3 linked regions of the Drosophila melanogaster genome follow. Changing the gene in region 1 together with any one later gene gives a genetic interaction. Each region holds a gene or a part of one and is shown in the gene's direction. Other genes may lie near its edges. The genes, in order: ftz-f1, bon and ari-1.

The links.
Region 2: of ftz-f1 (region 1) and bon, changing one suppresses a phenotype caused by changing the other (phenotypic suppression), as found in Drosophila melanogaster (one study listed by BioGRID).
Region 3: of ftz-f1 (region 1) and ari-1, changing one suppresses a phenotype caused by changing the other (phenotypic suppression), as found in Drosophila melanogaster (one study listed by BioGRID).

What each region holds. Positions count from the first base shown.
Region 1 is NT_037436.4:18,797,173-18,804,367, reverse strand, and holds the start of ftz-f1 (ftz transcription factor 1), read left to right. Parts: upstream 1-3,058; 5' UTR 3,059-4,260; intron 4,261-5,512; 5' UTR 5,513-5,636; coding exon 5,637-6,831; intron 6,832-7,195. Other genes in the region: CG14073 (uncharacterized protein), read left to right, coding at 1-344, 411-539, 638-1,305, 1,371-1,586. UniProt on the Drosophila melanogaster protein: Acts as a cofactor to fushi tarazu (ftz). Facilitates the binding of ftz to DNA. Binds the sequence element 5'-YCYYGGYCR-3' in the zebra element of ftz. Probably functions as a nuclear receptor for a yet unknown ligand.
Region 2 is NT_033777.3:20,591,066-20,598,404, forward strand, and holds the start of bon (bonus), read left to right. Parts: upstream 1-2,073; 5' UTR 2,074-2,778; coding exon 2,779-2,979; intron 2,980-7,339. Other genes in the region: Pus1 (pseudouridine synthase 1), read right to left, coding at 21-546, 611-887, 943-1,428, 1,492-1,531.
Region 3 is NC_004354.4:18,130,116-18,140,348, reverse strand, and holds ari-1 (ariadne 1), read left to right. Parts: upstream 1-2,663; 5' UTR 2,664-2,773; exon of another isoform or gene 2,774-2,984; intron 2,985-3,209; exon of another isoform or gene 3,210-3,298; 5' UTR 3,299-3,688; coding exon 3,689-3,907; intron 3,908-5,009; coding exon 5,010-5,162; intron 5,163-5,223; coding exon 5,224-5,280; intron 5,281-5,988; coding exon 5,989-6,638; intron 6,639-6,977; coding exon 6,978-7,101; intron 7,102-7,162; coding exon 7,163-7,389; intron 7,390-7,471; coding exon 7,472-7,553; 3' UTR 7,554-9,957; downstream 9,958-10,233. Other genes in the region: CG43229 (uncharacterized protein), read right to left, coding at 1,470-1,718; CG43133 (uncharacterized protein), read left to right, coding at 10,212-10,218. UniProt on the Drosophila melanogaster protein: Atypical E3 ubiquitin-protein ligase, which catalyzes ubiquitination of target proteins together with ubiquitin-conjugating enzyme E2 Ubc10.

The sequences.
Region 1 (7,195 bases):
TGTCTGTCGTGAGATCCAAAAGTGGGTGCTCAACAAAGGAGTTGGTCAGAGTACCATGCACAAGGCTGCTCGCCAGGGCCTAATCGATGTGGTGGTCTACTGCTTGGATCGTATGAATATGAATCCTGACCAAAAGGATAACGCCGGCTACACTCCACTCCACGAGGCGTGCACCCAGGGATGGCTGGAGATTGCCAGGATTCTACTTCAATACGGCGCGAATCATTCGGAGGCGGCTCAATCTGGAATTAGGCCATTGCACGGAGCCATCGAAAACGATCACGAGGAGGTGGTGCGACTGTTGCTCTCCTATGGAGCCGATCCGTTGCTGGCAACGTACTCAGGTTGGTGTTGGATGTTTAACTTTGCATTTCGAAGGGATTGTAACAATTGTACCCTTTTGTTTTTAGGTCAAACCCCGCTAATGTTAGCTTCAAGCAAGTTGATGCGAGGCATTCTGCGCGCTCATCTCAGCGATGCACAAAGTGCCGCCGCTGACATCAAGCCAATGCGATTCAATGGGCCTTGGGAGATATTTGGTGAGTGGAAGCAAATAGTTCTTTGCCATTGCATACAATTAAGGATAAAACTAAAATATGAATGAATTTGAACTAAACCATGCATTAATCTCTTCCAGATGCTAAGGAGTATGGTTATGATATATTCAGTAATGTACCGAATACAGCTTGTGATATGAGCAGAGCTCTACGTAAAGAAAGGAAGGAGGCCAAGCAGCAGAGGATGAGCAGCAACAGTGACAGGACCAGCAACTTGAATGGTCTGTTAGCGGAAAAAAAGGAGGAGCAGAAGCCCGAGGATTTGGACCAGGATCGGGTGACAACAACGATCAAGCAGAACGGGGAGACGAGTGCAACAAAGACTGGATCGGCGACTACGACGACGGCAACAACGATGGTTAAATTGGAACTGGGAACCGACGAGGATAGCAATAACAATAAGAACAACGAGGAGCTGAATGCTAATGTGGAAAATAATTTAGTAACAAGCGTTGTGAATGTCAAGAATGAAGTGAAGAAGGAAGTGGAAGCTGAAGCTGAAACAGAAGCGGAAACGGAAACGAATGCGAAAGCAAATACGAATAGTAGCACTAGGCTAGACGAGGATCAGACGGACATCGAGACAATGGATAGTGAATTGAATGGTGATATTTTTGAATTTGAAGAGGCCGATGTGCCCTTGCCACCACTGTACTTGCTCAAAGACGAGGGCAGTGATAAATGGGTACTACTCAATGATTTGTGCAATTTACTTAAAGTTAAATCGAAGGATACGTTGCTTAACAAGGTATGTGCCATTTAGATGCGATATTTAAATGAACTTATAACAAAATCTTGTTATTTTTTTTTTAGCTCTGTCCGAACAACAGCAATGCCTTGGCCAGCAGTCAGAAGCACCTGCTACGGGAGTTCAAGATAGATGATTTCCTGGAGAAAGCCACCTGCCTGCAGCTGTTGTGCGCCGGTGAAAAGCTGAACATGTTCAGTTCGTCGAAGGTTGTGCTCATCAAATACAACGACAGTGTACGGAACTTGTTGGGCGTTAAGACCATTTTAATGAAATTTTAACCGAGATATCTTTAGCGATTGGACGGGGCAAGATCCAGAAAGATATAAATTAGATAATGATGAATGGATGAGCATAGTACTAACTGAACATAGAGTGTAAAGTGCAAACAAATATGGAAAAACTATTAGTACGAATATAATAGTAGATTTATATACTATACATATGTATATTTTAGCTAGTAACTAGTTTTTACTCACACGTCTTTGTCTTTGGAAGATAAAGGATTTTATAAAGGAAATTAAATTTAGAGCTAATGCAAAGTGATACAAAGGTGCTATACACACTCAAAACGAAGAAAAAGGAAATGAATGGAAATTTTAGAGCGAGAATATTGAGAAAATCTGGAATCTTTAGGGATTGGCTGCAATTATGCAATAAAAGTAGAAGAAAACAATGCAAGGCAGTTAGAAACGAGGAAACGAACGGAAAATGTATGCCAGCCAATCAGCTAATAAATTGATATATACTTACAGATAAATCTAGGGATGAAGTGTAATCTATGGTTTTTAAAAAAACAAAACAATCTAGCTAAAGTATAAACTAAATAATAATTATTGTAATAATATTAAAGAAGCAACAAAGGCGTATTTATGTATTATGTATTTTTAAATGAAATTATTAACATAATATATAAAGTATATGTATACACAATATGATCCAACTACAATGTAAATCAATTTTCAGATAGGTTTGTAATTTTCTATGTAATGTACGTGTGTAAGTTTTGTGCAACTATAAAAGGAAACCACAAAAAACTGAAGAAATTTAACAAAAAAAAAAAAACTAATAATGAAAAACAAAATAAATGCAAAGTGAAATTTTGACAATTTAAAAGTGCGGTTTCACTTCAAAATTTTAACAATCTCCTGGCATTTGAAAACAAATATCGATCCAAGCTTTTATTAAACGATTCTTCAAAATTGGTTTAAAAGGTTATTTATATATAATAATAGATGACTGAACAGGTAAGGTCTTAGATAAGTACTTAAATATACTTAGAGGGCCCATTCTTTTGAAAAAGTATAATTATATCTTGTGAATATTTAAATTCGTCTTCTTCTTTTCCTTTTAAATTTGCAATTATTTGAACTAGATAATCTCATTGTATTTTTTATTGCTTATTAAAATTTATGTAATATTTCATTGACAAACCGCCACAGTTTTGAATTTACGATCTATCGATAACTTGGCGATAGGTTCCGGCAGATGTCGCTCTCAAAAGCTCGCCGCACGAGCGGTGCGCTAAACGCGGGTGTGCGTGCATGTGAGTGCTTTCAGCTGAAAGCTTTCCGGTTTTCATATGATTGCCGTCCTTGTTCTTCAAACGATTTTTAAAGGCCAAGAATGCTGCCTCTCTGTCCTTGGCCCCGCTCTTCGCTCCGGTGATCCAACACTATCCCGACCGCGCATGTGTGTGTGCGTGTATGCGCGAGGGCTTTCGGTCTTCTTCTACCTACGCCAACAAACTTTTACTGTGTGTTGTGTTCCCGTTCGAGTTCGACCTAATTTCGCTCGAGACCTAATTTTTGCGTGCGGAATAGTTTTTCCCGAAAAAGTGAAGCCAGCGAATAAACAATAGCTGAAAGTGAGCGATAGCCAAGAAAGTAAGAGTGAAAGTAAACAAAAGCGAAAAGAAGAACAGCTCTGGCGTTAATTATGTGTGTGTACATACGTATATATTTAATATTTCCGATGCGTCCATAACGGGAGTGTGTTCTGGTTTCCAATCGTCGCCCGCGCCCCCGTCATTGCCTATCCGTTTACCAAACCCCAATTTTGGTGTGCAATTGTGTATAAAAATTAACACAAAGTGGGAAGATAGCGTTGTGTCATAGAATTGGAGCAGAAGCAAAAACAAGGCAAAATTAGCAAAAGCCAAGCGGAAAAACAACAACACAGAGTGCCCAGTGGAACCCCAGTACATGTGTGTATATATGTATGTGCGGTGCGAGCGTGTCAGTGTGTGCGTAGCAGGAATTGCAATTTATAGTTGTTGTTTCTGAGAGCTTTCGCTTGTTGCGCGCGTGCGACGATTGTGCAAGAAGTTCTTGGTGTGCGTTCGAAATCGGGAAGAGGAAATCGCCGAGAATAGAGGAAGAGTAAATGGCAATAAATGCAAAATAAATAAAAGAAATAAATAAAAAAAAATATAAATAAATTGCCAAATGCGTTTGGCGTCGCGTGTGTGTGCGTGTTCTGAAATATGCTGAAAGAGCTTTCGGAGAGCGAGAGCAAAAGAGAACGAGACGCCGAGAGATGCGATCGGGAGAAATAGCAACAACAACAACAACGGCAACAGCGACTACGATCGGCGAAATGAATCACACACAAGCTTTGTTTTGCGAATTATAAATTCGCGTTCCGTTCTCCACACATGCGAATTCCCACACTGAGAGCGAGACAGAGACAGCGAGAGAGAGGGAGACCAGCTACGGCTACAAAAACAGAAACAGCAAGAAGACCAAGACATAATAATAGAACTTTTGCTTTCGCTTCCAACTGGTTTTTGTATACATAAAAAGCGAGAGGGGAAGAGACGGAGAAAGAGAGAGACGGACAGCTTCCAGCGCTTCTTCTTCTTCCGCGATCTTCGTCTTGGAATTCATGGAACCGGGCGCATGCGCAACACACAGAACTACAAAAGGAAAAACAACGACGTCAGCTGCATGAAAGGTAAATTCTCAATTCTCCCCGCTGCACGACTTCCTCTCGCTCACCTTTTACCCCCCAAAAACCTCCTTTTCCATTTTGTCTAGTTGGGTGAGCTTTATTTTACTGCACTTACCATCTTTAATGGGAAGTAGGAGCACGGAATGAAATACAGTTTTGACACGAATTTGATTTAAAAACCATCATTATAAGAAAACTTTTTAAATAAAATCACCTTTTTGTTTGTTTAAATAAATTTTACTGGGATCATTATATATATATTTTTTACAAAAATTAATGTGGTTTTAAAAATTTGGATAATAAACTGAAAATTGTATCAGCAGTTTATAGCTTTTTATAGTTTTTTTTTATACATTTTCTCGTATTTTCCACTAAGATATTTTTCTTTTAAAATATTAAATATAAAGTTAATGTCATTTGCTCAATTTTTTTCCGTGGATTACCCGAGGGTTGGTGAGATTCAAGCACGAAAAGTGAAGAACTTGAAGTCGAGTGAAGTTAATTAAAGTATCGTTAAAAAGGGTAACACAGGGCTTAAAAAAATGGGGGAATCTTTCCAGTTGTCTGTTTCGCGAACTGGAAAATTACTGTAAATGGGGGAATAAACAATTTAGCGTGTTAATTTTTAAATGGATTTTATCTACTCGGAAAAAATAATTTGGTTAAAGATGCTTTTAATGCATTAACTTTTTTTTTTTTTATTAATTTTTGTAATCTTGTAAAACAATTGCATTTTTAAAAAAACTTTATTTTTCAATTTTTAAATTAAAGATTCTCGACGTCTATTTTGAAATTTAATTTTTAAACATCGGTTTATTGGTGAAATTGCATTGATACTGATAAAAATAGTTTAGGCACTCCTAAGCTCTACGGAGGTATATATTGTGGACTTTCGACGATTTAGTTAAAAACCCTAAACAATAATTAAATAGTAGAATTATAAAAAAACTGAAATATAACATAATAAATTGGGTGGACATTGAAGTGGTACAGAAAAAGCTTTGAAAGCTTTCTCTCCCCACAAAGAGTTGACCTTGGCCTGCTTCAAATACCATTAGGCCTTTCCTTGGCCCACATTCTCTGCGACCTGACCTTCAACCTGACCTTGCATTAACCTAGGCCTTTGAAATCCTTGTCCTACTTCCTGAAAATTAATATTTATTACTAGAACGGATTGATTTTTGGTTTAGACGGCTTTAAAAACGCTTAGAATTTTTTTTTGATTACTAATAATCTGCTTTATTACCATTTTCAGGTCTTTAAAGCAATTATAAACTTACAACTACTATCGTTACCTGCCATTAAGAATCAACAAAACAAATACCACACATCACAACGAAACGTACAAAAAATAAAAGTTAAATTATATTATTCATAAAATGGATACCTTCAATGTACCTATGCTGGCGGAGAGCAGCAACACCAACTATGCAACAGAAGCTACCAGCAATCATCACCACCTGCAACATCAGCATCAGCAGCAACATTCACATCAGCAGCAGCAGCAGCAGCAACTCCTAATGCCCCATCATCACAAGGATCAAATGCTGGCGGCGGGCAGTTCGCCCATGCTGCCATTCTATTCACACTTGCAGTTGCAACAGAAGGATGCAACTGCAACAATAGGACCTGCAGCAGCAGCAGCAGCAGTTGAGGCGGCAACAACATCGGCAAATGCCGATAACTTCAGTTCATTGCAAACGATCGATGCCAGTCAACTGGATGGAGGCATCTCCTTGAGCGGCTTGTGCGATCGTTTCTTTGTGGCCAGTCCAAATCCCCACAGCAATAGCAACATGACACTAATGGGCACTGCCACAGCTGCAACAACTACCACTACCAACAACAACAATAATAACAACACTAACAATAACAATAACAACAACGTGGAGGCTAAGACAGTGAGGCCATCGAACGGCAATTCGGTGATCATCGAATCTGTGACGATGCCATCGTTTGCCAATATTCTATTTCCCACCCATCGCAGCGCCAACGAGTGCATTGATCCCGCCCTGTTGCAAAAGAATCCCCAAAATCCAAATGGCAACAACAGTAGCATAATTGTGCCGCCCGTCGAATATCATCAATTGAAACCACTTGAAGTCAATTCGTCGACTTCCGTTTCCACCAGCAACTTCCTGTCCTCCACAACGGCCCAATTGTTGGACTTTGAGGTGCAGGTGGGCAAGGATGATGGCCACATTAGCACCACTACGACCACAGGGCCGGGCTCTGGATCGGCATCGGGTTCAGGATCGGGATCGGGATCGGGATCAGGATCGATTGCACGCACAATAGGCACTGCAACGCCCACAACGACAACATCCATGAGCAACACTGCCAATCCGACGAGGAGCTCATTGCACAGTATTGAGGAGCTGGCCGCCAGTTCCTGTGCCCCGAGAGCAGCGTCTCCCAACAGCAACCACACTAGCAGTGCCAGCACCACTCCGCAGCAGCAGCAGCAGCAGCAGCATCACATGCAAAGCGGCAACCACAGTGGCTCCAATCTCAGCAGCGACGATGAGTCCATGTCCGAGGATGAGTTCGGTCTGGAAATCGACGATAACGGAGGTAAGTTCATCTTTTGTATCAAATGATTTATTTACCTCCCCAAAACCATCCTAATTCGAAAGGCAAATTGTTTGGCAAACATTCTGTTGTTGCTGCAAGTGAAGTGATAACGAAGCGGCAAGTGCGAAATAATACAAATACATAACGACTAATAAGAAAAATACAAACTAATGACACAATTAAACAAAAACCGCGTGTATTATCAAACAAATGCTCAAATAATCAATAAATCAAAAGCAAGCAATAATGAAAGTTATGAAAAAAAAAATTGATAAATTCATTAATAAATCAATATTTAATATGCAATATACAAAATAATGAAACTTTATAAATAATATGTAATAATAATGATAAAACGAAACAA
Region 2 (7,339 bases), on another chromosome or scaffold:
TGTTCATAAAAAAATCTATCTTATTCGTCATTGTCGTCATCACCACCTTTAACCTTCTTGTCTTCGGAGGAAGGTGGAGGCGCGTCCTCCGTCCGCGTGTCGTACGAGTGATAATGCAATGTTCCTATCCAGTCGAGCATGTTACGCTGCTCGGCTTCCGTCTTATAGATCTGGCTAAAGATCTCCCTCTCGATAAACTCCTGGACTTGCGCCTCCTGCGCCTGCCATGTCAGCGGATTGTGGATGCCGTCCTTGCCGTAGCGATCGTTGTAGCGCTCGTAGTGCACTGTGTCCAGCACGAGGCCCAGTCCAGGGGCCATCGGCAGGTCCAGACGCTCCTCCGTCAGTGCCCGCTCTAAAGTGGCCGCCGTCGTGTTCCCCCTTACAATGGCAATGGCTAGACCCACCATCTTGCGAATCTGGTGCAGCATAAAGCTCTGACCCTTAACCTTAAGTGTGACAAATTCGATGTCCTGGGGACTCCGGAATGGCTCGCTGCTCGTAAAGGACATGATGAAGCGCTTGGACGAAGGATCCAGAAAGCTTCTACAAGGGTAGTAAACAAAATATTAGTTGGAGCAGAAATGAAGTATAAACCTGGCTTATTTACTTCTTGCTGGTGAAGTTGTGGAAGTTCTTCGTGCCCTCGTAGAGCTTCAGGGTTTCTTTAACCTTCTGCAGCAGCTCTGGTGAAATCCGGAAGGTGTCGTGCACGTCGTCGACCTTTTCCTCAAACGGAGCAAAGGCCACGGTGGGCAGTGTGTAGGTGTAGGTCCGAGCATTGCATTGATCCTTGGCATTGAAGCCCTTAGTCACGCGTTCTACGCCAAACAGACGGATCTGTTGCGGCAGATCGGCATTGAAGGCCTCCAGGTCCAGCTCCTCAGCTGCAGGAAGGAATAGGTTTAGTATTGTCTTGTAAAATAGAATAAGTAAACTAACGCAGCTTGACGGAGCACACCTGGCGGGCGGCGGAGACGCCCTTGTCGGTCCTGGCCGCTCTTTGGAAACAGGAAATCTGAATCTGCTCAAAGCTGTCCTCTGTAATCCACTTGTGCTTTAGCATGGCTTTGAAGAGCTCCTCCTCGATGGTCTGCATGCCGGGATTGCGCTGCATACCATAGTAGTTCGCACCGCAGTAGCTAAGCAGGATGGCGCTCTTCTTGCGCTTGATCCGGTCGGCGGGATCGAACGGCGCTCGCTTCACGCCGTTGGCGGCATCCTTCTCGTCCTGCTCCTTCCAATCGACCCATTTCTTGCGTTTAAGTGTTCTCTTGATGCGGTTGGCGTCCTTCACGGCTTCGCCCTCCAGTTCTTTGGCCTCTTTCCTGGCTTCCTTCTCCACCTCCAGTTTATCTAGAGCCTCTGACATCGCTGCGGCGAAGGATTTGTGGCGATTCCAGGGATTGCAAAGGGTTTTCAGGCGAACTATTGTAAGAAAATTAATTATTATAAATTCTCGAATTGGAGGTGTGATCACTAATAATTAACCTGCCTTGGTGTAGTCGTTTAAAAGTCGTCTTAAAAACATTAAGTAAACAATTCTGGATTTAAAGTGGAGGAATTCACACACGTGTGGTTGTGCTTCTTCTTCTTGCTCTGTTACGGATCAGCTGTTTTATTTAACAGCTCTGTTTGGCTAATACAAATATGTTTTTTTCGAAAATCGCGTTCTTTGAATTAGCTCAATAATTAAGTTGAGTTTCCGAAATGCTACTTTTGATTTACTTAAGTTTTAAATTAGCTGTGTGGAGAAAAATGTTCAAAGCTTTACGTAACGTTATGACTTAACAGAACGAAGACGTTACAAGTTTATTTTAAAAATTATGTTATATTTTACTATAACCTTTTAATACCAGGCTAAGTTATTAGTTTTAAATTGTAAATAAATGGCATCTTGACCATGTATTACAACATTAATATGATTTTTTACGAAATGAACGGCGAATTCAATTGTGGTATTGCCAGATCGCGTGTTTAGTGTGACCTCAGCTGCTTACGTTTCCACGGCCGTGCGTAACAGCCCTCGAAATGCCGTCGTACTGGCAACGCCGACATGAATTAATTGAATCCAAAATGGCTGAACATTTTTTGTACAGAAGAAGCGTCCAACGAGAGCAAACGCCGTGAGACCGTGTGTTTTCGCAGCGAATTACGCCAATAAAACCGCACTAAGAGCGCGCTCGCAGCGCGAATAAAGAATAGCAGCCGCGTATGGACGAAATGCGGCACGAATCGCTGGAAAAATCGACGGCCAGACCGAAAAATAGCAGCGAAATTCGAGCGAACGTCGTGTATAAGTAAAACGAAAGTTGTGTCGCTCTGTGCGAAAGAGAGAGGGAGAACCCAATATTTTTGCAAGCCAGAAGTCGAAGGTGAAATTAAAATGCATTAGCCACCCAATTGAAGAGGAGTCAACTACGAACAAAACTTTAAGAATCAGCGAAAAATCGTTTGTGAACATCCATACAAGCACAAATCGTTGTTTTTGCCTGCTCTCGTGTAGTTCCTGTGTATTGGTGCGCGCGCCCTGTGTGTGTTTGTGCGTGTGCGTGCGTGTAAGCATTGGAATGGATTAACTACCCAACTAATTCCAAAACAATAATACCGCAACATAATCGCAATAGTCATGCCGTTTCAAGGCGACAGCCTTTAGGGAAACATTCGGTCGGTCGGTCAGTCAACCAAAAATCAGTTGCTATAATTAGCACGCCCACGTTTTAATTTCAACGATCGCCAGCAACCGCCTACGCGGTTAAATCGCAGGACTTCGCCAACATGGATATGGATTTGGAGCAGCTAAAGAACGACTTCCTGCCGCTTATCGCCGGGATCAAGCAGGAGCAGCTGGATGCCGTGCCCACGGATGCCCTGCCCCAGATGAGCACACCAAACACGGCCAGCGGTGCGCCCACAACCTCGTCATTGAGCTCCTCTTCGCTGAGTCTGAGCAACCCCTGCGACAGTGCCGAGAAAAGGGTATGTTGCTAGTCCGTATCACGCGTTCGTTACCTATAAGCTAACGCCAAGTTGAGGTTAGCTAAAGCCGCCTAATCACACGTGCTCTTGCGGCTGATAACAAACAGCCGGCTCAATACACATATTCCCCTGCTCTGCGCAGTCTGCTCAGTGTAAACTTTTGTTTTGGTTGGATTTTGATGCGCTCGTGCTGCGTCCTCCTTATCAAGCGTTTCGAATCGAGTCTCGTGCAAAAAGCGTTTGTTATCTTTTTCCCAGGCCAAGGCAAACAAAGCAGCGTATTCACACAACCAAACAAACAGCGCGCAATGGCAAGTGTTGTTGTGTTTCACTTTCACGGCCCAGTCCGAGATCTTACAGTGAGAAAAACGGCGTGCACTTTGCTCTATTTTACAGTATATGTGTATATATAGTTTTCTATTATTTTAAAATTAATATGACTATGCAGTTTTAATCTTGGATATACCAGTTAAGATGTAAGAAATGTGATGTTATCGAACGTTGAATCAACTTTAAAATTAGTTCTAATATACAAATTTTTAAGTTGTTATATGAAAAAATGAAAAATAATATACCAACTTAATGCAAGAATTTAATTAAATTAAAAAAGGTACAAATTAAACATTAATTATTAGCTTACTGATTGAGAATTTTTTTTTTTACTGTGTAGTGAGTTAGGGTCTCGTGCCGATGGTTCTCGATTCCCCTATGAGTGCGAGCAAAACAAGCTGTTTCTAGACAGTCGCTACCTCGCTTTCACTTACGTGGAAGGGCTAAGTCAAGATGGTCTCCCTCTCTTGCAATTGCAGATCAGCTGCAACATGCAGCTGCCACTCTCCAGATGAGCGGCAATAGAGTGTGTGTGGTTGTGTGTGTGCTCTCTACTGTGTTTTGTTTGCTCTCCGTCGTGCTTGAGCTGCTCTTTAAGCTACAGTGGAACCCAAGTAGATCATCCTAGTGGAAAGCTTGAACATAATTGTCCTGAAAAATAAAAAAATACTATAATATTTTAACTACTTCAATCTAAAGAATTATTGAATTGCTTTTACACCTTTTTGTTTATTTTCATTGTATTAGTTACTTACTGTACAGCCAGATAACTTGCCTTAACTGAACTTCCAATATAATTTTGGGACATACAGAATATAACTACCTTATTTTCAACGTAAATTGGGCAATTTGAAAGTTTCATTTAACACTAACATTATGAATTAAAATCAACGGCTTGTGATTACAATAAAACAAAATTAATGTTTTTCACAAATGATAACCGCTTTAGATGACACTAATTGGTCACGATATTTTATTATGTGTGCTAAATAAAACAAACACGTTTTCATGTATGTAATTAAAAATTCGAGCTCTAACTTTCTATGCGGCATGTGATACTTCTAGTTACGGAAGCCTGACTGTATGAAAGACTCAAACTTCTCCTGCAACCGTGCAAATAAATGTTCGCCTAGAGTGGGCCTTTTGGAGTGGCCACTCTCTCTTGAACCCCAACCAGGGATTGGGAATGACATGCACTCATTCAATCCGTCCCTCAATCATGCAAACGGTTGTGTTTGCTGTGGTCGTTGGGGGCACTTAAGACCCCCAGACTCCATGCCCAGTCCCCCCCCCCCCCCCGCCTGAATCCCCTCCAGATCACTTAATGCCCATTTCTGATGCGGGCAAACTATCAAGTGGAAAGTACTTCGCCGAGGCAAGGTGTGGAGTTCAGAATGGATGATGATGGGGATTTCAAAGGAATAGCTTTTAGATTATTAATCCTGTTAAAGATTTTCATACATGCATGTACATAACTACAAAACAATCTGACTTAAGAAACTGCCAAGCACGGAATAGTTAAATAATTAATATGAAAAGAATTATCAAAGAATTATTTATGATCCAGTAAGAATTATGCGATCCTTTAGATTTCCTTTAGATTTGAATGCTAATTCTTCTCTTGACGGCATTTTTTTCCTTTTCATCGAGTAAATTATTCTAATTTATGCATGACTTCACAAAACTAACTGTACCTACTCATGAATACATGGAATACATGATGTCGTTAAGTAACTTTTATGGGCGAAAAACATAATAAGAATTTCTCAATAAAGAGAGAAGACTTAAAATTCACGGATAATTTTTTCCTATATATAGTAAACAATGATACCTCTGCTCATATTAAACTCAAATGATTATTAATTTGTTTTTAATTAAAATTAGCTTGAAAGGTTTTATACATTCATAAACACAAGGTCTGCTTTTGTGGAGACTTTCTTTTTTACCTTTATACTTCCGATTCGGTAAAACACTCAAAATCACTGAAGCTTAACTGAAAAGAGAAACCTATTCATTTGTAGCTCCTGTCAAAATGGCGGGTTTCGGCATTAAAAGTGACAGCTGATGGGGAGGTTGCCGCTGGCGGGCATCCATATGTCATCTCAAAAACACTGCACCTAAATGCATTTTCCTACCCTCCATGAGGCCATATTTAATACTCCCATAAATACGTATGTACGAACGCTTGTCGTACATACATATTCATGAAGTCATGTCTTTGTGTGTTACCCCATGCATGCGACAGGTTGTAATTAAATTGCTTGACATCGGAATAAATGAAAACCCAAAATCGTACGACGCCATTTTGTGTTAGATACCGACGAGACCCGAAACGAATTCTTAGAATCCGCCTTTAATGATGTACAATTAACTTTAATTTGATGAGAATATGCAAGCAAAGCAAAACGAGGAGAAGGCAAAGTGCCGATGGCCAGACGCCGGTGCTAGGAAACCCCAGCCCCCAAAAATAAAAGTCGTTAAATGCACAAAAAAGTAAAGTTTCTAATTAACTTGATTACCCTGAAATAAGGGCGGGTAGATCTTGGAAAATGACTCTCTTTTCACTTTACTCGAACTACCTGGCATTAATGCAGACATCGGGATTTTAAAATGCTGGGATTTTATGGCATCTATAGTCAACCATCCCCTTTGTGATCCGATTGAACGAATTTAGGATTAGAAATAATACTCTATACTCTAAACTAGGTAATTGTGTCAAAGCCAATATGTGCATTAAAGATTTTCTGATTTAGTACGCTCAATGTCAAAATAGATATTCAACATATTTTTGAAGTGAACAAGAGAGGTCGCTCTAGTCTATTCTCGTTACTAGTGTTTTATTTTCGAGTTCGGAAAAAAAATTTTAAAAAAGATTATATGTATATTTGTTTTACTGTCTACTGTTCTTTGTACCTGTTATAAACTTTTAATCTTATATTAATAGCTTTTTGTTATTTTTAGGAGAAAAACCATCTTGGTTGATGTACATTTTATAAACTCTCTCAGTTCCGAACTTATTGTTAATAACGTTTAATTGGAACAAACCATGAAAACATGTTTTTTTCTAAAATGTTAACAGCTTTATAACTTGAAAGGTGGTTCCATTTAGGGACGTTCTCCTGTTTATCCAGGATATACACATTTTAATTGCTTTTCCGGGCAGTCGGTGGGCGTAAGGCCGCCCTAATCCATCCATCGACGTCCAGTGCGTAATTAAAGTTGACTGCGACTGCGGGATCAGTGCGGATGGATGGAATCGGATTGGAACTGAAAAAGGGAATGGGAGTGGTGTAGTTGTAGGTGTAGATGTGGAAGTGGTGCTCGTTGGCAACATGTGTACGCTGGTCGCACTCCTGTGCGGGGATTAGGTGCTACACAGGACATAATCCGATCACAAAAAGCGGATTATAACGCACAGCAACAAAAATGGTGCAGTCGGGCGGCCGTGGCAAAGGGAAACCGAACTGACGCCACTTTAAAAGTAGAGCGTTTCTGTCAGTGGAGGGGAAATGCAGAGGGCAAAGTTTTATAAGCTGCATAAGTCCTGAGAAGCGAGTCTGTCTGATTTCCTACCATCCTACGGCAACAGACAGCAGATGTAAGCAGATTTCTGAGCTGCGTCAGCTTGTTCAGCTGCCGCCTTGGCATGCCCCCAGATACGCCTACGCCCAAGTCCCGGTACCATCCATATCGGTTATAATATTGCTATTCCTGCAACTGGCGTCACGATTTTCGGGCCCCCTGCTGACTGGGAAGTCTTACCGGTTTGTGTATCTACATCAGCGGGGAGTCGCCATTTTGGAAAACACTCGTACTCTCGTAGTTCGTGCACACTCCATCCAATCCATATATATGTACATATTATGGTGTATACGTGTCTGCTGATGCCATGCCCTCCGGGAGCAGGAACAATTGCAACGGGCACAAAAAGAACCGCAAACCGCATCAGCAGCAGCAACAGAAACAGCGGCTGTGACGGCTTTGGTAAGCTCCAGAGACCGAGGGCCACCGGCTCGTCGGACCAACGTAA
Region 3 (10,233 bases), on another chromosome or scaffold:
TTCTCTCCTCGTTTTGCTGGCATTTGCAAATTGAAAACAAGAAGTGAGCCTCAAGCCGATCGTTGCGACTTAGGGTTACTTGGTACCTTTGGCAGAACAAATACGACAAGAGTTAAGATTAATGTGGTATATCTGCTATCCATATGTGTCCTTAAATACTTGAGCAGTTTATTTTTTAGATACTTGAAAAAATGGAATTTTTTCAACTTTTTTGAAGCAAGTTCGTCTGTCCAGGGTATCTCTCTGTTCATGCGAATACTCGTACAATTCACCCACATTGATCCACGTGTAATCGGCATAAACAGATGCGCGACCTTTGTCGTTGGCAAACAACAGCAACGATTCCTGCCGCTTTTTGGAAACAGTTTCGTTTTTTACACGTTGTTTGTGCTTTTGCTCGCGAGCATGCTTTACGAGCACAGCAGACAACTATAAAACGCAGCCGCAGCATCAGCGAAGATAAAGAAAGCAAGTTCGAGCGAAAAAATCACTACATGGCGGTTGATTGCCCTTTTTCGTTAAAGAACTAACTTCGTAATTTAATTATTTCAAAAGGGATGTAATGAAATAAGCGCTTTATCGCTACTTCTATATTTTTTTAATACATTTAAAAATCAAGCGCAAAAAGCCTTTTGGTGGCTTTTAATCATATTTAAACCTTTGGTTTTATACAAAAAACTGACAATTTAATAAATTCCCAGAAGGATTCTACTATAATTGAATCGGGCAGCACAGACTGGCGTTTCGTGTAATAAAACTTGCCAGCAATTATGGCGTGCCTAATGCAAATTGTAATTAATTCCTGAAATGCAAATTGGAACAATGTATGTATATATATATATGCTTGCATAGGTAATGGCCAACATGGATACATACATATGTATGCATATGTATTAATGTATAAATATACATACAAAGTAATTTAATCACAATTATATGCGATGGCCGGGTTTTAGTGGCAACTGCCTGGTATTACTATTCATAAATGAAAATGACTTAAATACTCCCAATGGAGCGGTGCATTTTTCAGCTGCTTTTTTGTGGCGAAAAAAAAAAACAATGCAGCCATTCATGCGCTCAGTGCATTCGGTAAATTTAACTCAATTGATTGAATTACAATCAAATTGTCATTTTCATTATATGCAAAAATGGTATACATTTTGGTTCATGTTAAAAATGCTATTTAGTAACTGCCGTCATGTAATTTTGTAGTTTTTATTTATTGGTTTTATAATTTCTACAAATGCCTAATATTAAACCAATAGAAAATTATTGAAAACATTAAAATATTTACTTCTGTGTAATGAGGCAAACGCCCAATCAATTTTATAACCATTTTTTTCTCATTAAAAATGTGTCTGCTGTATTTATTTTGCATGCTGATTATTTCCATGCAATCGGTTTTTAGTTTACATATGAATTTTAAGGTGATATTCGTTTAGATATTTGTTTTGATGGTGAATCCTATATCAGGGGCACAAAATAAGAGGCACACAGTGTCCTCGTTCGTTACGGGCATATCCTCTCGCACAATGGCATCCCGATGGGTTTTTCCAGCACCGCTGACTGAACTCCTGGCAGAAGGACTCGCATCGGCAGATCGGGTTGCTCAGACGGCACTCGTAGGGCCCACAACTTCCGGATCCGCCCAGGTCGGCCCGTATGGCTGCCACCATTAGAAGAAGAAGAAATCGAACTGCCATCCAACGAATTTGCATTATGACCGCATTCTGATTAAGCCAGCTGGCTCTTTATATACATACCTTATACACAACAACAGTTGTCAGGTGTTGCAATAAAAACACAATATACAATAAAAAACTTTAAGTGAAATCGAATAAGGCGCCCATTGCCAGTGCAACTCTGTATCAACCGATACAGTATCGATAAGGTATCGATATGGCATCGATACATCGATGTTACAACAGAGTGGCAATTTACCATTGAATTTGATTAACGGTACTTGTGAAACAATGAAAATTGGGACAGTAAAGTTTAAAATAATTTTATTCAAATATATTTTTAGCTCGTGCGAAGTTTTAGCAATTTTATATTGTTCGCCACTTTAAAGATTAAACTCTAACCGCAAACAACCGGAGGTTGCAGTTAAAAACATGAGAAAACGTTTGAGTATAATATCTTGACAGTCGAATAAAAGATCTCAATAATAGATCAAGACGCCTAGTTATCCTGATCAAGAATATGTGTACTTTATGAAGTCGGAAGCGCTTTTCAACGAATCTAGTATACCCTTTAATTCCAAGAATAATTAATAATGTTTAAATAACAATATTTATTTCAAACAGGTTTATGTCTCGGATTGGAATTTGACACTGTGGTTCGTGCCTTTGAATGGATCCCTTCAAGTCTTGTTCTGTAAAGGGATTTTCTCAAAAACTGTTTCTGTAAATTAAGCGCATGTCTCATTTTTAAGATAATCTCTTTTGATGAATACACTGAGAATCAAGAAAACGTTCATTGGAAGCTCACTTGTTTTTGAATCTACTGTTTCCCAGCCGTCGATAAGTCACTATTGCTTTTTTGGCACCCATCGATAAGCAGATGTTGTTAAACATACGATTTAACGGAACGGTATGAAACAGGCGGCAATCGGAACGAAAGTAAATGGGAAAAAAGCGCAAACATGCGCACACACTTTCACGCACACTTGACTCCACTGTGCGAGCGCGTGTGTGTGTGTGTTATTTTTTGAGAAAAGCAAAGAGAGCAAGTGAGAACCAACACCGATGCAAATCATTTTGTTGGCTTTACGGTTAGTTTTTCGTGAAAATTCCATTTAATTTGTGCATTGCAACCGAACTTCGCGACGAAGGCGAGCACGATTAGTGCAATAAGCTAGTGTTTTTTCTTTGGAAAAGTGCATAGAAAAACAACAAAAAGTCATAAGCTTTTCGACTGTGCCTTTGTGTACGTGTGTGTGGCAATACACACGTAATGTGCGCATGTGTGTGCGCAGTGTGCTGGTGTGTGCCATTACCTTGAAAACAAAATAATCTGCCCTAAAGAAAAATGCATTTGTGTACATAATTTCGTTGTTTTTTTTTGTTTGTCCCATCGACGTTCGGTCGATTTTACATGATTTTACACACACATGCACACATTTAACATAGTGTTGTTCGCTGTTAAATCAGCAGTTCGGCCCTGTTAAGCGCACGGGCCAGTGTGACCGTTCTTCTTAAAAATACCGAACCAGTATGACTGCGCTGCGACCGTGCAGGGTCTCGTATTGTCATTAGAAAATCTCACATATTCATTTTTCATTTACAAATAAAAATAGCCAGCACGCAGCCTACAAATTAGCAGCGCACAAAATAAGTTAGTGTGAAAAAGGGAATAGAAGCTGTGCACCAAGTGCAGCGACCAAACACAACTGGCCACGCCACTGCGAGGGCAGCAATAATAACAACTGGCGAAAAGGGCTGCGCAAAAACGTAAACAAAAGCAAGTGGAAAACGAGGCAAAGGAAAACGAAAAGACAGAAACAAACGCAAATGCAAATGCAAAAGTAAAATACTGGAAGTAAACGCTGGAAAACAAAGCCTCGAAAGCTGAAAACAAAGAGGAACGGAAGTGGTGCGGGAGGCGCAAGAGGAACAGGAAGAGGAAGAGAGCAGAAGGAGCACCAGCAGCTGAAGCAGAAGCAGTAACGCAAAACAGAAACCGAAAAATGGACTCGGACAATGACAATGATTTCTGCGATAATGTCGATTCGGGCAACGTCTCCTCGGGCGACGACGGCGATGATGACTTTGGCATGGAGGTGGACCTGCCAAGCTCCGCGGACCGCCAGATGGACCAAGATGACTACCAGTACAAGGTGCTCACCACCGATGAGATTGTGCAACACCAGCGCGAGATCATCGACGAAGCCAATCTGCTGCTGAAGGTATGGCCAAGCGCAAGTACAGTGAACACCCGCTAGTATAACTATCCATCCGCAACTTAACTATCAGTCCTAGGGCAGCCATAGAGGTACATTCTTCACCCAGTCCAGACAACAAAGATAGGCAAGCAGTCACCTTTGATTGCTCTACAGTCAGGCCTTCCTAGCAGGAACATGTTTGTTTCGACTTTCGTTAGCGCTGCGATTTGCAGTGAAAGCCAAATGGCTTGACATAGTTTAGTGGCGTATAGCTGCCAAGAATATCTGATCTGTTCGCCGCTCGGAGGCATCACTGTGTGCAGCACAGTGCATTTGGGCATGTGTATCCGTGAATCGCTTTCCCCACCCCTCGCTCTTGCCGCCCACCGCCCTGCCTGGGATCTGGGATAAGCTGAAGGTCGTCCGCTGATGACTGCCAGTGCCAGTGAAATCGGAACACAAGCACCCAGGCGCACCCAAGGTCGCCAGATCCGCATCCCATATCCGCATCAGCAGCTGACTTGCCCGAAGTTCACTAGCACAGTTTTCACTTTCCCAGATTTCGGGGGATTCCCTTAAAATGGTATTATAGATTCCATTTCAAATGAATACATTAGGATCAATGTAGAATCCATGTAATACTTTTTTGTTTCATTGACATTTAAACATCAGAAAATCTTTCATTGCAATAATAAGCGAAATTCACTTAGCTTGAGTGTTAACTTTCAGTATTGATACAGATCATGTATGTAGCTATCTAATTGTTAGTTAAACAAAGCACCTTTGAGTAACTCTTCCCTCTAAAATTGAATTGTACATACATACGTACTTTTTCTCGATTTCCAAACAAATCGATTAGTTATTAGGAATGCCAAGAAATGTTATATATCCTAAAAATTATACTGTTTAGATAGACCAATTGCCAGTGGTAGTTATAGTGGTTCCACATCACAACCCCATCCACGATTATACATAGGTACTGCTGATCATACTGCTGCTGATCGCAAATGATTTGGCATTGATTTCGATGCCAACTGGGATGCAGCCCCCGCTCTTTTACCCCATATATGTACATATGTGCCATCATCCACTGACATTCGATTTGTTTTGTTGTCTATGGCCACAGCTACCCACACCCACCACACGGATACTGCTAAATCACTTCAAGTGGGACAAGGAGAAGCTATTGGAGAAGTACTTCGACGACAACACTGATGAGTTCTTCAAATGCGCACATGTCATAAATCCTTTCAACGCCACCGAAGCGATCAAACAAAAGGTGAGCCCAGTGCTAAGGCTCCATTTGATGTCTCATCTAATGCGTTTCCCTTCATTTTCAGACCTCACGCAGTCAGTGCGAAGAGTGCGAAATATGCTTTTCACAGCTCCCGCCAGATGTAAGTTGTCATGGAGAAGGGATGAGTAACTCCGTGACCTAATTGCGGTGTAGAATATATTTTCCCGCTGATTAACCACGAATATTTTGGGGGGAAACATGATTTTTTAACTGGTCAATGGTGCCTTATCTGATGACCTGATAATAATGTTAGGGCGTTGCTTTGCTATACAAATCTAAAATATTCTAAAAAGACTTGATTTGTATTTTATCAATTATTTTTATTGGCTTACGTTATCACTAATTTACTTGCTTGATTTACAATTGTTGATTGTTAGCCTGAATTTGGTTATGTAAGCAGTTCAGCAGTAATTCGCTGGAATCCAACTGTCTTGTGGAATCAAACATTTAATAATGTAGTTTAAAAAGTAAAATTTAGTATCACGTTTTAAAAGAGTAGATTGCAATGGGCAACTTTGGGTTATAACAGCAAAGTAAACTTAAATATATTATAGACAAGCTAACTAACAAATACTCAGAGCGTAAAACACCTATGAAAAGTTTAAAATTACCATACGCTATGTAGGTGGTTTTAATTTGCTGTATGCTTCATCATTAAGCTCTCATAGTTCGCGTGATCTTTAAGTATATATTATAGAATACGATTATAATATATTTATAATATTGTATACTCTTTTGCTCCACAAGCAACAACTTCAAGAATATCTACAATGTATACTAATAGCTACTTTCTCTTCGTTCCATTTAGTCCATGGCCGGGCTGGAATGCGGACACCGATTCTGCATGCCCTGTTGGCACGAGTATCTGTCAACGAAGATCGTGGCGGAGGGTCTGGGCCAGACCATTTCGTGCGCGGCGCACGGCTGTGATATCCTGGTGGACGACGTGACCGTCGCCAACCTAGTGACGGACGCACGGGTGCGGGTCAAGTACCAGCAGCTGATCACCAATAGCTTTGTGGAGTGCAACCAGCTGCTGCGCTGGTGTCCGTCCGTCGACTGCACCTATGCGGTGAAGGTGCCGTACGCGGAGCCACGTCGCGTCCATTGCAAATGCGGCCATGTCTTCTGCTTTGCCTGCGGCGAGAACTGGCACGATCCGGTCAAGTGCCGTTGGCTAAAGAAGTGGATCAAGAAGTGTGACGACGACTCGGAGACGTCCAACTGGATCGCGGCCAATACCAAAGAGTGTCCCAGGTGCAGCGTGACCATCGAGAAGGACGGCGGCTGCAACCACATGGTGTGCAAGAACCAGAACTGCAAAAACGAGTTCTGCTGGGTGTGCCTCGGTTCTTGGGAGCCGCACGGCTCCTCCTGGTACAACTGCAATCGCTATGACGAGGACGAGGCCAAGACGGCCCGCGATGCTCAGGAGAAGCTGCGCTCCTCGCTGGCCAGGTGGGTCATTCGACTGTGAACGATGTCACAGGATAGGAACCCCTTTTGTTTTTTTTTTTTTTTAAGTGATACTTGTTGTGTATTATTTTCGCAGTTCGCTGATAATGACGGTTAGCGGTTTATTTTATCTGCTAATTTCTTTTAAGAAAAGATAACGATTGAAAGCCGTAGAAAGGAATGAATCAGCTATAATTCGTAATTAAATTTTATCGCTGATTAAACCTGTAGAATTAGAAATGCTAAAACTAATCAAGGAAACACGAAAGTATCTAGGCAGAAATGTGAAAGTCATTATGGAATAAAACTCAACTGATATATTATCTTCTGCCAAATCTACAGATATCTCCACTACTACAATCGCTACATGAACCACATGCAGTCGATGAAGTTTGAGAACAAATTGTATGCATCTGTGAAGCAAAAGATGGAGGAGATGCAACAGCACAACATGTCATGGATTGAGGTAAGTGGTGAAAACTCGTGACCATAACAATGCGAATTCAGCACACTCATTGCAATTGCAGGTGCAGTTTCTGAAAAAGGCTGTCGACATACTTTGCCAGTGCCGTCAGACTCTCATGTACACGTACGTGTTTGCATATTACTTGAAAAAGAACAATCAATCCATGATATTCGAGGATAATCAAAAGGACTTGGAGTCGGCAACCGAGATGTTGTCGGAGTATTTGGAACGTGATATTACATCCGAGAATTTGGCTGATATTAAGCAGAAAGTGCAAGATAAATACAGGTGAGCGAGCGAGCCATGTCCGTGTCCCCAACATACAAACGACTCATTATCCAAACATTGATTGGTCTCTCCATTCGATTAGGTATTGTGAAAAGCGGTGCTCTGTTCTGCTGAAGCACGTGCACGAGGGGTACGACAAGGAGTGGTGGGAGTACACAGAATGACGCGAGTCATGGCTGGATAACTAAGCTAAGCCGAGCGGCAGGCAATCGGAATGTAGTGCCCGCTAAGCGCCACCCCATCCAGCATCCGAAATGCAGCAAACACTGTCCCCATCCACATACCGACCAACATCCGCCAAGCCACGCAACACACACACACACACACACACACACACTCACGCACGCACGCACTCACGCAGAAATCGAAGCCGAAGGAGTTGAACAGAAGTTAAGGATAATGCAGAAGCTACACAGAAACGCAAGAGAAAGGAGACTCGAAATTCCCAGAAACGCAGGATAAATCCCCATACAAGAGTTGCAAAGCAAAATTGAAGCCATTTCAGAACACAGAAGCCAGAAGGAAATCACCATAAAATCGTAATATATATAAATATATATATTGAATTATATATATTTTTCTTCGTACTAAGCAAGAGCAGCAGCAGGACACGAAGAAGGACAGGATCAAATAGACACTACCAAACACATACTCACACACTCCCACACACACACACACACACACACAGAACCAGTCACAAGGCTCAGAAGCAGAATAGATATATAGTAAATAATCAACAGTTAAAAACTTATTTGATGTTAACCGATTGCAAAGAAATCTTCATGTTATAAAAACCTAATGAAAAACGAAACAAAATGCAAAAATTAGTGAATTCAAAGCTACACGCATGATGAGAAGCCAACAATAGAACCTAAACTTATGTGAAATAAACAAACTACACATGTAAGCAGAAACACTCGCCCAGCTTCCTTTCCACCTGCCCAACTTCCTTCGACCAAAGACAATAGAATAACAAGATGCGTAACGCAACGCGATTTTTTAGCACACATTTTTTTGGCAATGGATCTAGAAGGTGGCTCCAGGCTCTCTCGAATTTTTGAGAGAGAGCGAGAGAGTGGAGAGCGCTACAGCAAATAGCTCTTTTCTACGTATACAGTGATAGCAGACAATTGTATGTGTGCACACGTATGCTTATGCATTGTAAATTTGACCCCCTTCTTAGACTTTAAATCTTTATTATTTTTGATCAATTGGCACCATGCTAAAAATTCTTGTTTTGCATTGCCTTAACGTTATTATTATTTGAAAATAGATTAGAAATAGCCAAATCTATGTACATATTATCACAAAATAAATTTCAAAAATTACTTTATTAGAATATTTGTCATTAGAGTATTCAGCTTGCGGCGTGTGAAAAATTAAATTTTTGTAAAATTTATGTTTTAAATTACGGTAGTTAATATAATTTGCTTTGTATTGAGTATATTTATTAAGTCATTTGACTTAATATGATGTATGTAAATGTACCATTTCAATTATTTAAAATGCACATTAGATTCAGTTGTTTTTCAGTTTTTGTTTTTTTTTTTTTTTTGTATTCCAATTTGATATTTTTTCATCATATTGCTAGTGCCAAACCAATGTAAGGCCGTTGCGCATCTTGTTATTCTAGTGTCTTTGCTTCGACCTTCTACGTCCCTTTTTTTTAACCCGTTTAGGCTTGAGGTTAGCGTTATTGTTCTTTAGTTTCAATCTCAGACCCAGTATGATTTTCGATTTCGAATTTCTTCCAGTTTGTTAAGCCTTTATTTACAAAAAAAAAAAAACAAAAAAGGAAAATGATTTCTTCTTTTTTTTCCGTTGGTTTTCTGTTCAATAAACAATTGTGCCTAGCATATACGGAATGAAAATGTTTGCAATTCGATCGGATAAGCCTTGTTTTCGTGGCGGGAGCAGAGCTACGCCCCCATTCTTAGTTCATATGTAATGGCCTCTCGAATGTTGCAAATCCTTAATGGAGATCAGTGCTCCCAGCACAAATCGAAGAACATGCCGATGCCGGAAACACACACACTGAGTTATATACGAGTAGACGAGGAATGTATAGTTGATGGGGAGGGAGGCGGTGTCCTTGGACCCTTGCAGAGTCCTCCTCCTCGAATCGTTGTATATAAGAGTACAGTTTTGTCCATGGTTTCCTAGCCCGCCCACAAACACACACACACACACACACACACAAAATGACGCACGTATGTATGTACATAACGTGCGGCAACATAACTGGACATGCCACGCCCCCGCTACGAAGGCGTCGGCCCTTAATCTTGTTTCCGTTTTAAGCATTCTCTTTATATTCTAAATACCAATAAATGAAGAAACAATTATATTTATAAACAAACTGAATCCAAATGGAAAACTCATTGACATTAAATTGATGTAAAAAGTTAAAAGTTGTTCGAATTGAAAGAAAAGGAAAAAATTACCATAATGTGGAATACAAAAAGATATATAAAAAAAAGCTGTAAAAATTATGAGAAACTATGTATGTATAATTAAGAAGAAATGTTGCAAAAATTAGTGAAAATAAAAATTTAAAAAAATCTATACAACTGTTTTGATTACTGTAGCAGCAGTATATACACATATGTACATATTTATAGTATACCCAATACTTTCGTGCAATACTTTTCACTGGGCCATATCGCGCGGGTCACTTTCCAGGAATTCATACACTTTTATACATATTTGTTTTTTTTTTTTTACTTTTTCTGGGGCGAAAAAACAAACGTATAAGAATGGTTCACAATCTTCTTTTCGAGATCAGTTGAAGTCGGCACAGCAGCACTACAATACATGTAGCAATGAAGAGTGAGACATTTTTGG